2 linked regions of the Alligator mississippiensis genome follow. The protein of the gene in region 1 interacts with the protein of each later gene in a biochemical or structural test. Links are inferred from orthologs where the notes say so. Each region holds a gene or a part of one and is shown on either strand. Other genes may lie near its edges.

What was found.
Region 2: the proteins of ELN (region 1) and LOX form a complex in vitro, tested with the Homo sapiens proteins (2 studies listed by BioGRID and IntAct). The link is inferred for Alligator mississippiensis from reciprocal best matches to the Homo sapiens genes ELN and LOX.

The regions. Positions count from the first base shown.
Region 1 is NC_081837.1:27,776,874-27,784,156, forward strand, and holds the start of ELN (elastin), read right to left. Parts: upstream 3,008-7,283; 5' UTR 2,885-3,007; coding exon 2,806-2,884; intron 1-2,805. UniProt on the Homo sapiens protein: Major structural protein of tissues such as aorta and nuchal ligament, which must expand rapidly and recover completely.
Region 2 is NC_081826.1:220,066,180-220,073,184, reverse strand, and holds the start of LOX (protein-lysine 6-oxidase), read right to left. Parts: upstream 3,002-7,005; 5' UTR 2,771-3,001; coding exon 2,188-2,770; intron 660-2,187; coding exon 551-659; intron 1-550. UniProt on the Homo sapiens protein: Responsible for the post-translational oxidative deamination of peptidyl lysine residues in precursors to fibrous collagen and elastin. Regulator of Ras expression. May play a role in tumor suppression. Plays a role in the aortic wall architecture.

The DNA of each region.
Region 1 (7,283 bases):
TTCCTGGGATTGTTGCAGCTGGCAAGCATGAGGGTCCTGACAAGGGAGCAGCCACTTAGTAGACTCAAAAGAACAAGCTCTGAACTAGTAGACTGCCAGTATTCACCCCAGAAAGCCAGGTCCAAGAGCAGCATGCCCACAGGGAGTGAATAAAAAGATATCAGGTCCAGTCAAAGGCTCAAAGCCTGGCCCTGGGCTGCTGTGAGGAGACACTAGGTTACAGGTCCTTGAGAGAATGACAGTTCGGCAAGAAACCTGGTGCAAAGCCAGCACACTGGAGCATGGGCAAACGAGGGCAAAGCACGGGTAAACCTTTTTGGCAGGCATACCACAAGTCAGCCCTGTACCTTCCCCAAGTACCACTCTGATCCTCTTTCCCTACACAGTCTACTGCCCTGATTTTTGCTTTGGACCCTGTCTGCAGCTGTTCAGGGGACTAACTGGCCTGGACCTGCTAGCCATGGGTTTATCCTGCACTCTCCCCAGATCACAACTAGCTGTCGCTGGCATCCCAGGAAGGCACAGGATCAAGAGGAAGCCAGGCATTCCCCAGCACTGGCACAAGGAGTTTCTGGCTGCTGAGAATGGACCTGAAGGGGTTTTCTTTGGGTTGGGAGGAAGAACCACTCAGACAATGGCTACTTCTCCTATACTTAGTCTTGCCAGTGCTCCCAAGCCTCATACTGCCCTGCAAGTGTCCCCTCTCTCCATGCTCACTCAACCTGCCAGTGCCACCTCCTGTCTTTCCCACAGCCCACCCCATTCATGCAGCCCTGCCAGAGATCCCCTCCCCCTCTCCTAGGCAGTCCGTAATAGAGAAGTATTTGAGCAAGATGTTCTGTGTCCTGGGCTTTGTGTAAGGTTATACTATATAAGTGGACGGTCCCTTCTACCTATAAACTTAATGCATCTACCTACTGAGGTACTTTTGTGACTCCCATAAATGTGGTATTGGAGCACACCACAGTCTTCAAAGTCTTCATTTATCCTCACAAGTCCACTGAGAGGTTAGACAGGACTATATCCCCATGGTGTTGAGGCACAGTGGCTAAATGACTTGCCTAAGATCACACAGTCAGTCTGTGGCAGAGCAAACAGTTGAGCCACAGATGCCCAAGTCTCAGGTTAGTTCCTCCACCCTATCTGTGCCCTCTCCCCCTTCACACAGCCCTCCCAGTGCCCTGTCCCCAGGCTCCCTGCAATGAGCATCGAGAGGGACATTCTGCAGTTTCATCCTCTCTTCTGGCATTGATTTTAGGGATCTGAGCACAACCAGGATAATGTGGAATTTGCCTCTCTCACAGTTACATTACACATACACGCACAATGATACCCTCTATGTCATACACACAGTAATACAAATGTTTTGTATTACATACCTACAAATGGTAAAAGTGCTACACACAGGCTCTCCCTACAGACAAACTATGGCTGTCTCATGCTCTCACACACTATCACTGACAGTGACACACGCAGGATGTATCTACTTCTCCAGCATGCATACACACACATTGGCAGAGCAAGTGTTACACACAGCGCTACATATGGGCTGTGTCTTTCATATCCGCATCAAAGGAGCACTGTCAATCATACATACATACCTTGGAGAGATATACACACACAGAATCACACACACACCCAAGTTACACAAAGGGTCATCTCTATCGCACACATGAGCACATGCACACACATACATATACATCAGGTTGAATACAAGTGGGCTATGTCTATCATACACTGACAGTGCTGCTTACAAGTTGTGTCATATGTACAACAAGTAATACACACAAGTTTTATCCTTGTCTCTCACAGTGATCCACATGTGTTGTGTCAGGCTTTGGCAGTGTGAGCTACAAGAATGTGATCTCTTACATGGGTTACATCTCACACAGAAACACTAACACATATTGTGGCTGATGCATTCACTGTCATAGTCACACACTGTGAGATGAGAGTGATACACCAGGGCTGTCACACACACAGAGTAATGCACACATGGGCTATACCAAACACGCACAAGCACACACACACTAAAAGTGATACACACAGCTTCTGTCATATGTATATTGACACTGATAAAGGGATATATATAGACCATGCCACACAAACACACTGAGAGCAACACACAAAGGATGTCAGACACTAAGCATGAAACACACCAGTTATGTCCCAATTGCAGACATAAGTTAACTGATGCACTCTCCTTGTCCCAGTCACACACACAAGCTGTCTGGGTCCGGGCCCATCATGCTGGGAACCAGACAGACCCCTGGTCCCCTGAACTCCCTGTCTGGGGCTGGGAACATGTCTGCCTGTGTGCTAGGGAAGAAGCCATATGACCTCTAAAGTTTCCCTCAATAAGTGCCTCATACCTAGGTAAGCCAGACCCCAGTGCCATCCCCAGAAGCAGGGAGCAGGGAAGATTTCTGGCCAGTGACCCTTGGGTTTGGGACCAATGCTTGATCTGCCCAAGACTTTCCCTGATCACATCTCCCTTGTGCATGGGTAGCAGGGAGCTTTTCTGCCCCAGCTGGGACTGGGACAGACTTCTTCATTCCTCCCCACTGGGTGAGCTTAGCTCCTGGGGCTGTAGATGGGATGAGTTGTTCCGGGGGGGGCAGTGGAAGACAGCCTCAAGCAAGCAACCTGGACAGCAAGCTAAAGAGGCAACTTTTCTGGATGCCCCATTACAGCCCCTGGCAGTACTGTAGCCCAGGTGCCCAGAGGAGTCCCTGAAGGGCTATGCCAGGCTTGCTGTTGAGCTGCCCATTCAGGTGAGGGAGAAGCAACCCTTTCTTTTCTTACCTCCTTGCCAAGAAGCCTGGAGGATGGAGAGGAGGAGGAGGACTCCGGGAAAGAGGGATGCAGCTAGCTGCCTTGCCATCTCTTGAAGCAATGCCCCAGTCCTCTCACAGCCAGTGTGTTTTATCCCAGAGCTGCTTAATTGTTGCTTCCAAGGATGTGAGGGGAAAAGGGGTGGGGGTTGGAAGGAGGGAGGGGAAAGAGAGTGAGAGAAGGGGGGGAGAGAGGCACAGGACACTACGTCATTATAAAAGGGCAAACACATAAGCCTCTCCAGGCGATTGAGCTTTTTTTTCCCTTTTTAATTTTTCTCTCTTGCTGCTCTCTCCAGTTCTGGTACGTCTCTGCCAAAAGAGTGGGGAAGCTGCCAAGAGAGCCTTCAGTGAGAGGAAGGGGGAAGGCTGAGCCTGCCAGAGCACTCGCTCCATCCCCATACCATAATGGCCAGTCCATATATCGCGTGGCCAGTGCCACCTGGGGGCTGCAAGCCCCAGAAGTGACTCTTGGACCTATTCCCAGCCTGTTCACCTCTTCCCGTTCAGCCCCCAGCAGAGGAGGTGGAGGGCTCTGAAGTCACCACTAAGTAGGTGTCTGGGGAGAACAGGGGGAAAGGTGGCGGAAATTAAACATTAGAGTCCCAAGATAAGCTATCTCTAAAGGGTTTGCTTTGGTTCTCTGTGCTGAGTGTCTGCAGCTAAGGCTTTGGGATACTGCCAGCTGGGCCCCTGCTTTCCCTTCTTACAATTGCTAATGTTGTTTGTGTTCAGACATCCTACACCTGGACCGGTGCTTTCAGCTGCAGGGTACCAGGGTCCTGTATGGTGCTGCAGCCAGGGGGAAGGCAGGGGGAAGAGGTATCGAGACCATAGCGTTTAACCCTGCTCTGTCCTGAGTCCCCTTCACTTTATCAGGCTGCTCAGCCCATCGTGTGACAAGGTGCCTATAAGGACATGAGTAGTTCAAAGTGGTCTCTGGTGGGCAGAGGGGAATTCCCATCTGCAGGATGAGCAGGTGAAGGGCACATTTGTTAGATGATGGAGCAGTAGGGCCATGTAGGAAAGGAGGGAGGGGGATGGGGGAAGGGTGGCTGTCACTCCAGGGACAGGGAGTGGGTTACTTGTGGTGCAGGTGAGTGCGGCTGGTCATGATCTTATGAGGTTTTAGCAACATCAGAGAGCCACAGGGGTCCATGGGGACAGAGGAGGGAACAAACAGGGAAGCAGGCTATGAGCAATAGTAACTGGAATGGAAAGACTGGGGGGTGGGGGACGTTGTGTGGTGAGAGGGACAACGAAGGGTAGCGGTGGAGAAAGATCTGGGCTATGGTGCTGGGCTATTGTTGTGAGCCAGGTTGCATGGGGTGGAGGACAATTGAATGAGGGGTGGATGTAGGAAATGTCCTAACTGCTGCAGTCCCTCTGTGTCAAGAACAGATGTCTAATGGGACAGATCATGGAATAAACAGACTGTGCGCCAGGCTGCCATTTCCCTGGCAGCCATTAGGGGGCATCCACAAGGTGTTCAATACCCAGGAATGAACATTTCCCAACACGCATCTCAGGAGAAACCTGATTTTTATGATGAAAATGATCTGTCTGCTGCCCGAAGCTGCTGCTATTTATTTCCTCCCTCCCTGAGTGCAGGGCTATGGAGAGAAGCCCTCTAGACCAGTGGTTCTCAACCTTTTTTGTAGCAATACCCATTTATAAACATCAATGGCCAGTCCTGACCCAGTGCCCCTCACTCCCAACTCACTGCCCCCTGCTCCCAGCCCCCAAGTGTGTGGGGCAGGGTGTGTGTGTGTGTGTGGGGGGGGGGGGGGAGACATAGGGGGCCCCAAGCAGCCCCTTTCAGGCTGTAACGCTGCCAACCTGCAAGGCAAAAGCCACGGTTTCCCACATATTCTCCTTGAAAAGAGAATCCATTTTTAAAGTTTGTTCACAACCCTGTCGTATATTGTTGCAACCCATTTTTGGGTTGCGACCTATGGGATGAGAAATGTTACCCCAGACCCTCTCCCCAAAGGCCAGGTATTCTGGGGCACAAACTGTTGAAGAAATCCACAGGGCCCTTAGGGACATGAGACCATGAAGAGCTGCCATGGGGGAATGAAAAAAACTAGCTTACTTAGTTCCTTCTGAATCAGTGGGGGCCAATCTTTGGGGCAGGAGTGCCACACATTAAGCCTCGCACCCTGAGTGCCACTTAAGTCCCCTTCCCTTGCCCAAACTGTTGCTTTGCTTTTCTGCTCTTTGCCCTATCTGTCTCTGTGTTCCCTGTCCCTTCACTGATCTGCTGCAGGCCACACACAGAGGCTCCTTCTGTCATGTGTAGCACTTGTGCCATGGGTTAGCCAGTCCTGTTCTAAATGATCCAAGAATATTAAGGCTTCTGCAGAGGGCCCCTAAATCAAGGCACCTAGCTGAAGAGGTGGTAGTTAAATCCTTGCTCAAGAAGGCACAAGGGGGTGGGGAATCTCACTTCTCCCTTTCCTGTAGGGAAACTGCTGATAGCTAGGACCCCAGCAAATCTGCAAGGCACTCTGCAAATCTGAGTAAGATTTTTGCACTCTGTTCCTCAAGCATGCAGGGAAACCACTTGAAACAGGCTTTGAGCAAATACTTACAAATACTTACTCCACCTGCTCTATTTTTTCACTCTGCAAACCCACAACTGTGGTGTAGAACAGCTGTGGCTGTTGACATGGGCTGTGGCCACAGAGCAAAGGGCATCCTTCAGGAGGGAGGGCAGGGTTCAGAACAGCAGGGGGCAGAGCAGACTGTAGCTGGCTGGAGCCTGTAGTGGGCTCTTGTTGCTGAATTACATAATGTTTGAGCAAAACTCATACAGTTGTTAAACACAAGCTCTGTGCCTTAACAAGAGCAACAACACATGCTGCATTGAGCGGATGGATTTGAGAGCAATTGAGAAACATTTTCACTGTGATCCCAGATACTTGAATTGCACAGACTCGGCCAACAGGGATGGGTGGCTTGAAACCACCACGAGAAGGAAGGTTTGAGGTAATGTGGAAGAGGGTCTGGAAACATTTCAAGAACACATTCTTTCTGTACATGACTGCAGAGCGTGCGGACCAAGTGAGCTGTACCAGCAAAGTGGCATTATTAGCTGTAGCACCAGCCTTCAAGCTCTCATCCATCAACAGAACAGATTTTGGCAGGACAGTTGAAAGATCACTATGTACCTAGAAAGAATAAAACCAGGAAAGGTTCCTTCCTTAGTCTAGAAACTAAGTAGCCTACAAACTTAAGGCTAAAATGTCAGTCTTATGGTTTTAGCTGTATAAGAATCCTTGATTAAAGATAGGCTGGTAGTGAGCTGCCCAGTTGGGAACCGTTACAAGCCTTTGCTCCAAGATTACAAGCCTTTGCTCCAAGATTGTAACTAGATTGTAAGAAAAAGCTATACAAATCTGTATAGTACTCAAATGGGCAAAATGGCAAGTGCAGGCTTAAGAACAGAGGGCAGTTAGGAAACTATGCGAGCTTCTCCTGAAGTAGACTCTGAAGGAAAAACACAGTTGGAAAGCATGTGAGGAAATTAAGTCATGCAAAGAAAGAGCACCAAGTCCTGGAAGACTTGTGGAACCCTGACAGATGCATGAAAGCTGTCAACTAGCACATCAGTATAGAGATGTTCCAGTATTTGGCCAAAAGTGCAGTCAGCTTCAAGAGGGATTGTTTTGGGCAGCCGTGCAGTCACAGAGAACTTATAAATGCCATCAAGTAATCACATGTTGGCCTTGGGGAGGATGCTCACATACCAGGTGTTACTCATGGGCCAAACCTAGCCATTACACTTAATGCCATGCACGTCATCCATGCTTGAAAATAGGTGCGGACATCAAATTTAGCTTCACAACTGGTGCAACCTGCCAAAGACCTCCACTAATGTTATAAACACATGTCCAGGACTCCCTGTTCCAGCATTGGCATATTGTCGCACACTGACACAGCAATAGAGAAGTCAGAACACCTTTGCCGTAATTGCTGGGGACAGAACACCTGCTCCGCCTCTGGAATTAAGCCACAATTTGTAACTGAGACATAAATTGTTCCCTGTACAATCAAACTGACAGAGAACATTATAACTGAGAAATACACAGATGTGTTCTAAAAGGAAGAGGCATAACAGGCTGTTAAAGAGACATAAATGCTCCTTCAGCCCTGAGGGATAGAATCCAGAAGGTACTTTCAGTTGACATGATAGTAATAGCTCAGGTGCTTATTAGATGAGTGTGCATCTCGTGATAGTAGAAGAGGAACCTGGAGGTTTGTGCTTATGTTGAAATCAGATACTAGCATGAGAAGAAAGCAGTTATCACCCCTCCACAATCAACCCTGTAATCTCAGGGAAAGGGGAATGGGGACATATTTTCACCCTTCTGGATGTACAAAATTTGCTTGGCAAGCTTCCTTCACAAATTTGTCCATTTAAGTCCATTTGATTGGCCTCTGTTT
Region 2 (7,005 bases), on another chromosome or scaffold:
ATAAACTTGATAGCAACGGTTTTGTTTCAAGTTTGAGTTGTTGCAACCATTTTTTAAATGGGTTTAAACCTTACAGGGGTTGCACCATATAATTTTGAATTGCTTACATTGATTACAAAGCAGCATTTCTAAAAGAAATGCAACAGGATCGTCGGTTATTAAGATTGGGGAGGAGCAGGAGGAGAGCTGAAAGGGAACAGATTCCAATAAAAACCCTAGACAAGTATTTTCACCAGTGATGAGTCATTTTGGGGGGCAGTTCAGGTATGCTCCTTTAAGAAGCCTGTTTTTTAGCAAGCTCTTCTCTCCCCCTTCTGAAAAGCAGGCCTTGGCAAGACCCCTAAAGGGAGCTGGGCTCCCTAGTATGAAGACATCCGAAAGCACTTGTAACTTTATAAAATCTTGTGCTGTAGATCTTCCTTGTCTGCCTCTCACCAAGGTTAGAGATGCCAGTCAAGCTAGAGAGAGGGCCTGCTCTCCTTCTGTGGCTGGGAGCTGCAAAAGCACCACTCCCGGGGGAGCAAGGAAAAACATAGCCATAACTGCCTACCTGGCCAGGCAGTTCTCCTCAGCAGCGCACCTCAAGTTGTACATGGACATCCTCTGCACGTACGTGGACGCCTGGATGTAATAGGGATCCGGGACTAAGTCAGGGAGACCTGCAGTGCATCAAACCAACCACACAATGGCAAGGATCAACCCAGGACACGTCTGCAAACAGGGAGCTGCGCTCCCAAGCGTGATGTAGGGGGAGGTCATGTTTGAGCTAAGCTGTGATGGGGGTTGGAAAATTAGGCTTGGAAGAGACTTCGGGAGGCCATCATTCTAGGCCAACCCTTGCTCCGCGCAGGACCATCCCCAGCTAAATCATCCCACTACAGCTTTGTCTAGTCAGGTCTTAAAAACCTCTAGGGATGCAGATGCCACCACCTCTCTTGGTAACCTGTTCCAGGGTAACTGGATCTCATCTGATTTGGTCTCAGTCTTAACCCATTCCCCCCCCACCCAGAACTGAAGGGAGTTGCAGCACCAGCCATGCCCACTGTGCCCCTATTATTGCATGGAGGACTCCTGCCCATTGTGACGTAGGCACAGATCACCTCTTGCCAGCGTTGCCAGGTCTTAAATATGAAATTATTGTATTGGAAGCTCAAAATGATCACATTTGCTAAAAGAGTAACCCATACTGAAAAAATATGCAAATAAGTATGCAAATCAGCCATCATCTTATTTACTTCATTTTGCTCACTGTAGCTAGTGAGTAAGAACTGGGTCAAAGCCAAAGCATTTTTTGATTTTGAGGCAAGCAGTCGTAAGAAAGTGCTGCCAGCAAACCCAAAAGTCAGTTACAACTCCCTTGAGAATGACTTGGGTCCCGTATAGGCTCCATAAGTGAGCTGCCTCAAAAAACAACATGTTTTGAAACCCAGGGGAACCACACTGTCCTTTACCTCCCTTGCACACAATGAAGTTTATTTTCTTTCTGGGTGTAGGTTGTAGCCATGTTGGTCTAAGAACACAGGCAGACAAGGTTCTTTGGGTGAATCTGACATCTTTTATTAGACCAATTAAAATAGTTGGGGAGGGGAAAATTTAAAATGAAGGGTTTTTAAAACCCGAAAGCTTGCTAAGAAAAATGTTTCCAGCTAATTAAGCTGGTCTTATAGAAGATGTCAGATTCACCTAAAGTACCTTGTCTTTTCTAAGTTGCTCTTATAAAAAAAATATCAGATTCCCCTGAAGAACTTTGTTGTTTCTCCCTGGGTGCACTTTTACAATCTTTGAGCTCTCTTCTGCCTAAAGAAGAGTGTTTGGACCCAAGAGCCTGCCAAGAAAGCTACTGTTGTCTGCTACTATGTAGTTGGTCTAACGGGGATCAGGAGAGCCAGGTCCACGTACTGATCCCTGGTAAAATCTCGGAATAGACAAAAACACCAAAGCGCACAACGATCGAGATCCGGACGCTGTTTTTGTCAACAAGAGAGAAGGCGGTGTGATAAAAGCTCTCACCCCTCGCGCGAGTGTTTTGTCCGCTGTTGCTTTTTACACGGACGGGGCCACAAGCTGTCCCCGATCCGACACAGAGCGCTTTCCCTACGCCGGGCCCGCCCAGGGTTGCAGCGCCGGGACAAGCGGGCTCGCCCCCTGCCTGCCTGCCTGCCAGCGGGGCGCGGAGCGGGCTCTTACCATACTGGAAGTAGCCGGTGCCGTAGCCGGGTCTGTAGCTGCTGCCCTGGCGCGGCCTCTCGTACGTGTCGTAGTAGTTGTAGTAGGGGTTGTCGTCCGTGTACTTGTAGGGGTTGTAGGGGTCGTCGCCCACCATGATGTCCTCCCGGCCGGGCCGCGGGGCGCTGGGGGCGCGGGCCGGGGTGGGCGCCGGGGCCGGGGCCGGGGCCGGGGCGCGGCCGGCCGTGCGGTTGGTGCCGCCGGCCCGCGGGCCCCCCTGGTAGCCGGCCTGGAACCAGTGTCGGGCGGAGGGCGGCGTGGCGGCCGGGGCGGCGGCGGCGGCCGCCCGCGGGGCCGTGCGGTTGTTCCGCAGCAGCAGCACGGGGCTGGCGGCGGCGGCGGGGGCCGCGCCGCGCCGGGCTGGCTGGTAGCGCGCGCCCAGGCTGAGCAGGCTGAACACCTGCCCGTTGTTCTCCCACTGGATGCGCTGCCTCCAGGCGGCGGGCGGCGGCGGGGCGCGGCGGGGCTGTCCCGCGCAGCCTAGGTAGAGGCACACGTGCAGCTGCGCCAGCAGGGCGACGGCGGCGGCCGGCGCGGGGCGCATCTCTCCTGCTCAGCGGCGCGGTGGCGGGCGGGCCGGCCGGCTCAGCCGCCGCGCATCGTCCGTGGGGCGGCGCCGGGAGTGCGGGCGGGCGGCGGCAGGACGAGGGATTTTAAACTTTCTGGCGGCTTTGCCCGGTTACACAAGCGCGGCGGCTCTCACGTAACGCGAGCGGGGACGTGCGGCGCGGTCGCTGCCTCCGGGCTGCCCCTCGCGGGCGGGCGGGGAGGGGAGGGGAGGGGAGGGGAGGAGCGCGGCGCGGCGCGGCGCGGCGCGGCGCGCCCTGCCCTGTCCTGTCCTGTCCTGTCCTGTCCCGCGCTCATACACACGCGTGCACACGCACTGGGCTGGGCGAGGGGCGCGCTGAGACGGGCCGCGGCCCGCGCCAAGATATGCAAAGGAAAAATGCTATGAGCTCATCAGAGGGCTCTGGGAAAGCGCGGGGGGGACGTGTTTCTGGGAAGGGCTGCCTGCGCGCCCCCTCGGCAAGTGCCCGGGAGCCCCGCAGCCGCCCCTCACCCGCTGTCCTCAGGCATGAGGAGAGGGGACAGCTCCTCATCAAAATCTCCCTCTTAGTCTCTGCCATCTCTCTCCCTTTCTTTTTCAATCCCCCCTGTTTTGCTCCAGCCTGCCAGGCGGTTTCCCGTCCCCCCCCGAGGCAGGGGGCTCCTCAGCGCTGCAGCCTTTGGCAGGAAATGGGTGAGGGGGCGACGTTGTTGTTGTGAGGCGGTTCCCGGTGAGTCTGTGCAAAGGAATGGGGACTGAGAGGAGCTCCCTCACCCCTAGCGGGGTCCTGAGGATTTTTCCGTCTGACTTGTCACTCCCCAGTCTGTGGCAGGCTGGAATTTCTCCTCTCAGCGCAATGGATTCCAGTCATTCTCTGGACCCTTCCAGCCCTTCCCGGCTCAGGTGTCTGGAGTGCCTGGCAAGGCTGTTTCCAAAGAGATGTGCTGCCTTCTGTCGCTGCCCACGTGTAAAAAAAATGCCTCCTTTGCGGACTTCGAGTCCCCCCTTTGACTCTTGGGCGGAGGTCTGCAAAAAAAAAAAATGGGCTGCCCATCACAATGCCTTACTAAAATCGGAGACACCCCCCCCCTTTATGATTTTCAAATCTTGCAGTGGACACACATAGGGGATGCACGGGGGTGCATGTGCATCCCCTGAGAGCGCTGGTGCACCCTCTGATGGCCAGCGCTCCCCACTTAGGCAATGGGCAGGGGGGCAGGCAGGAGCAATGGTGCCCCCCTCCCCCCCAGCACTGGAGTCGATGGACATCCCTGGCCTTTCTGGGTGCACTACTGGCACTTTGGGTCGGCAGGTGCAACCAGCAGGGGGGACCCCCCTGGTTGGTGCGATTGGCTGTGACAGATCCCCTCCCCCGTTGGCACAATGGGCCGTTTGGGAGCCCCACCCCAGTCGCTGACTGGCCACTGTGGGGACAAGTGCCCCCCCGACTCAGGCAGCACCAGTCGCCCATGCTTACAGGAGGATTTTCATCTTTTATGCTTAGCCCTCCCACCCCCAGCTCCTACATAATTCGAACACTGCTTGTAATGAATATGTTTAATTAGTGTGGTGCGGGGGGGGGGGGGGAGTCCATGTCTTATCCCAGGGCAAACCTTAAAAAAGTCCACAGGATAAGGAATGCTACTACCAGTTTGTCCTGGGACATCTCTGAATGCTGGGATTGCATTGTTGAATCAATGGCAGAAAAGGGCAGTGTATTCAGCCACTCTCTGAACCCCTATTGGAAGGACGATATGGGTACATGCTAATCCTGAGACTTTCCTGTTTTGGAATAAACACAGGCAGAATTGATCCTGAGACAAACATACATCTGTTCCTAGCCCTGGTCTCTTCCTCTGGCACCGTGCAGTTCTTTGTTACAGACGACTTGGTTTGGATTGTTTTGGGCTCTTTTGTGGCCATGGTGCATAGATGGGAGCAGAAGTGATTGCTGTTTTCAGTAACATAATCTAGGGCTGGGCAAACAGGGCACCAGCCCTGGGCACCAATTTAGCGGGGGTATCAGCACTCTGCAACCCCGACTCTCCAGTCTCCAGTGCTCAGTGCAAACCCTGTCCACATCCTGCCACTCTCAGTCTACTCTCTGGTACTTGGCACACACACACACACACACACACACACACACACACACACACACTGTTTTCTGCCCAAGATGCTGAAACTGGTAGTTATGGCTCTGGTTTGTTTTTTGTTTTTTTCTGGACTAACATTTCATTACGTGTTCACTTGCAATTGCAGGAAACTGGACTTGGAGTGGGTGGTCATCTTCAGTTCTGTATGCCATTTTTAAGTAGAATGGTGGCAAAAACTATCCATTTATACTTGGTGTAATAATAATAAGTGGGATTTTTTTATTCACTTGGAAATTTTCCAGCTTTAAATCCCATACCACAACCACTTCCTACCTAACAGATATTTTTACCTTGAGAGTTCCAACTGCCTGAGTGGTCCTGAGATGATAAGCACTATACTAACATGGTAGGTTTTGCCAAGCTGAGCCTTCTGAGAAAGCACAGTAGGTAACTGTTCACTCTCCTTAGATGTAGCAGTTAAGGTCCTGTTAGCTAACTGCTCTCTCATTTATTTTATGGAGGGTTTTTCTTCAAATATTCAGACAGTTTAATTCAGTCCCCTAAGCCTTTTGCATTGTGGTTTCTTAATTTTATCATTCATCTTGGATCTTGACTGGAACAATCACTGACTAAGACTGAAGAAAATGGAAAGTCTAGAGAAGAAGGAAAATACAACACTGAAGAAAATGAGGTCTCTGTCTTTGTAATCTTCCTGTAAATCTTATTAGTGTTACGAATAGCAGGTTGTCTCCTAATGTGTGATATTAGAAAATGTTTCCACACTGGGATTCTGGCCACAGCATTATATGCTTTGCCTGATTAAGTAACTGTTTTTTTCATAAAGCTGAACAAAGCATAGGACAGGATTGCCCTACCAATTTATCAGTCTGTTATATTGTTTATCATTTTTTCCAAAGTACAATTTTGAATTTTCAGTGAATTTCAAGCTTGTGAGTCATAAAAGGCCCTGGCGACAATCCAAGAAACTAAAGTCCTCTGCTTCTAGTTGGGTCTCCACATTCAATTCACTCCCTGTCCACTCTGCAAACATTACCAACTATGCTTTAGAAACGACTAAAATCAGTAGTTTCTTTTGCCGATACCACTAAAAAATATACCACTGACCCTGAGCAAGAGGCAAAAGACTGTATGTACCATTATATATCTCCTAGCCATCCAGTTCCTTCAGCCCCCTAATTTAATTGTGGGAAAATGTTCTGAAATCTAGTGAACAAATAGGTATTCAATAGGGCTGTGCAAAAGTTCACTGGCAGTTTCGTTTCAATGCTGTTTCAACTTGTTTTGAGCTTGAAACAGCAAAATCAAAACAAAATAGAGAGCTTCGAAACAGCCTCGAAACAAAACAAGGCAAATCAAAATGTTTCAAAATTTTAGAAACGTTTTGAGTTTTGAAGCTCAAACTGGGTTTGCCCACAGGGAAACAGAAACTAAAGTAAGGAGAGGGAGGGGAAAGAGAGGGAGGGGGGAGGACTGCTCTCATTATTGACTGTAGCTGGCCAGTGACTGTCATCCTTTCCTGAGGTCCCTTCCAATCCCAGTGCTCGGGGGGGGGGGGAGGGATGGAAAAACTGCATAAAAGGTAGCACTGTTCGAACTGCCCTGCTTTCTGTCTTGGTGTCAGTTGAGTGAGGGTGCACTTTAACACACACACAGTGTCACCCACCCATGTCACAAGTTTTTCCTGTCAGCAGCTAGAGGTGCAGGGCCCCAGAACCCAGACTCCCCCTGCACCTATCTCCTCAACAGCTGGCAGGCTTCATGGCTGCAGCAGGGCCTAGCAGGCTTGCAGTTTTCACCCTGCTGTTCCCCAAGACAGACAGTCCCACAAGCACCCATGTCACTGTTAGATCCCAACTCCATGCAGTGCCCAACAACTAGGGAGATGATGATTCAATTGCTCATGGATCCTGTTACTCATTAGCCAGAGCAAGCAGGGAGGAAACACCAGCACACACCGCTCGCAACAGCTTTATTCAGAATGGAAACAGCTTCAGACTAGCTCCCAAGAAAACAACAAACCGGGGAGCTGCACTGAACATTAGTTCTTTTCACATTTTATACACCTTGGTTCATACATATTAACATTTACTCCACCTATGTGCCTCCTCGGGTTCCACC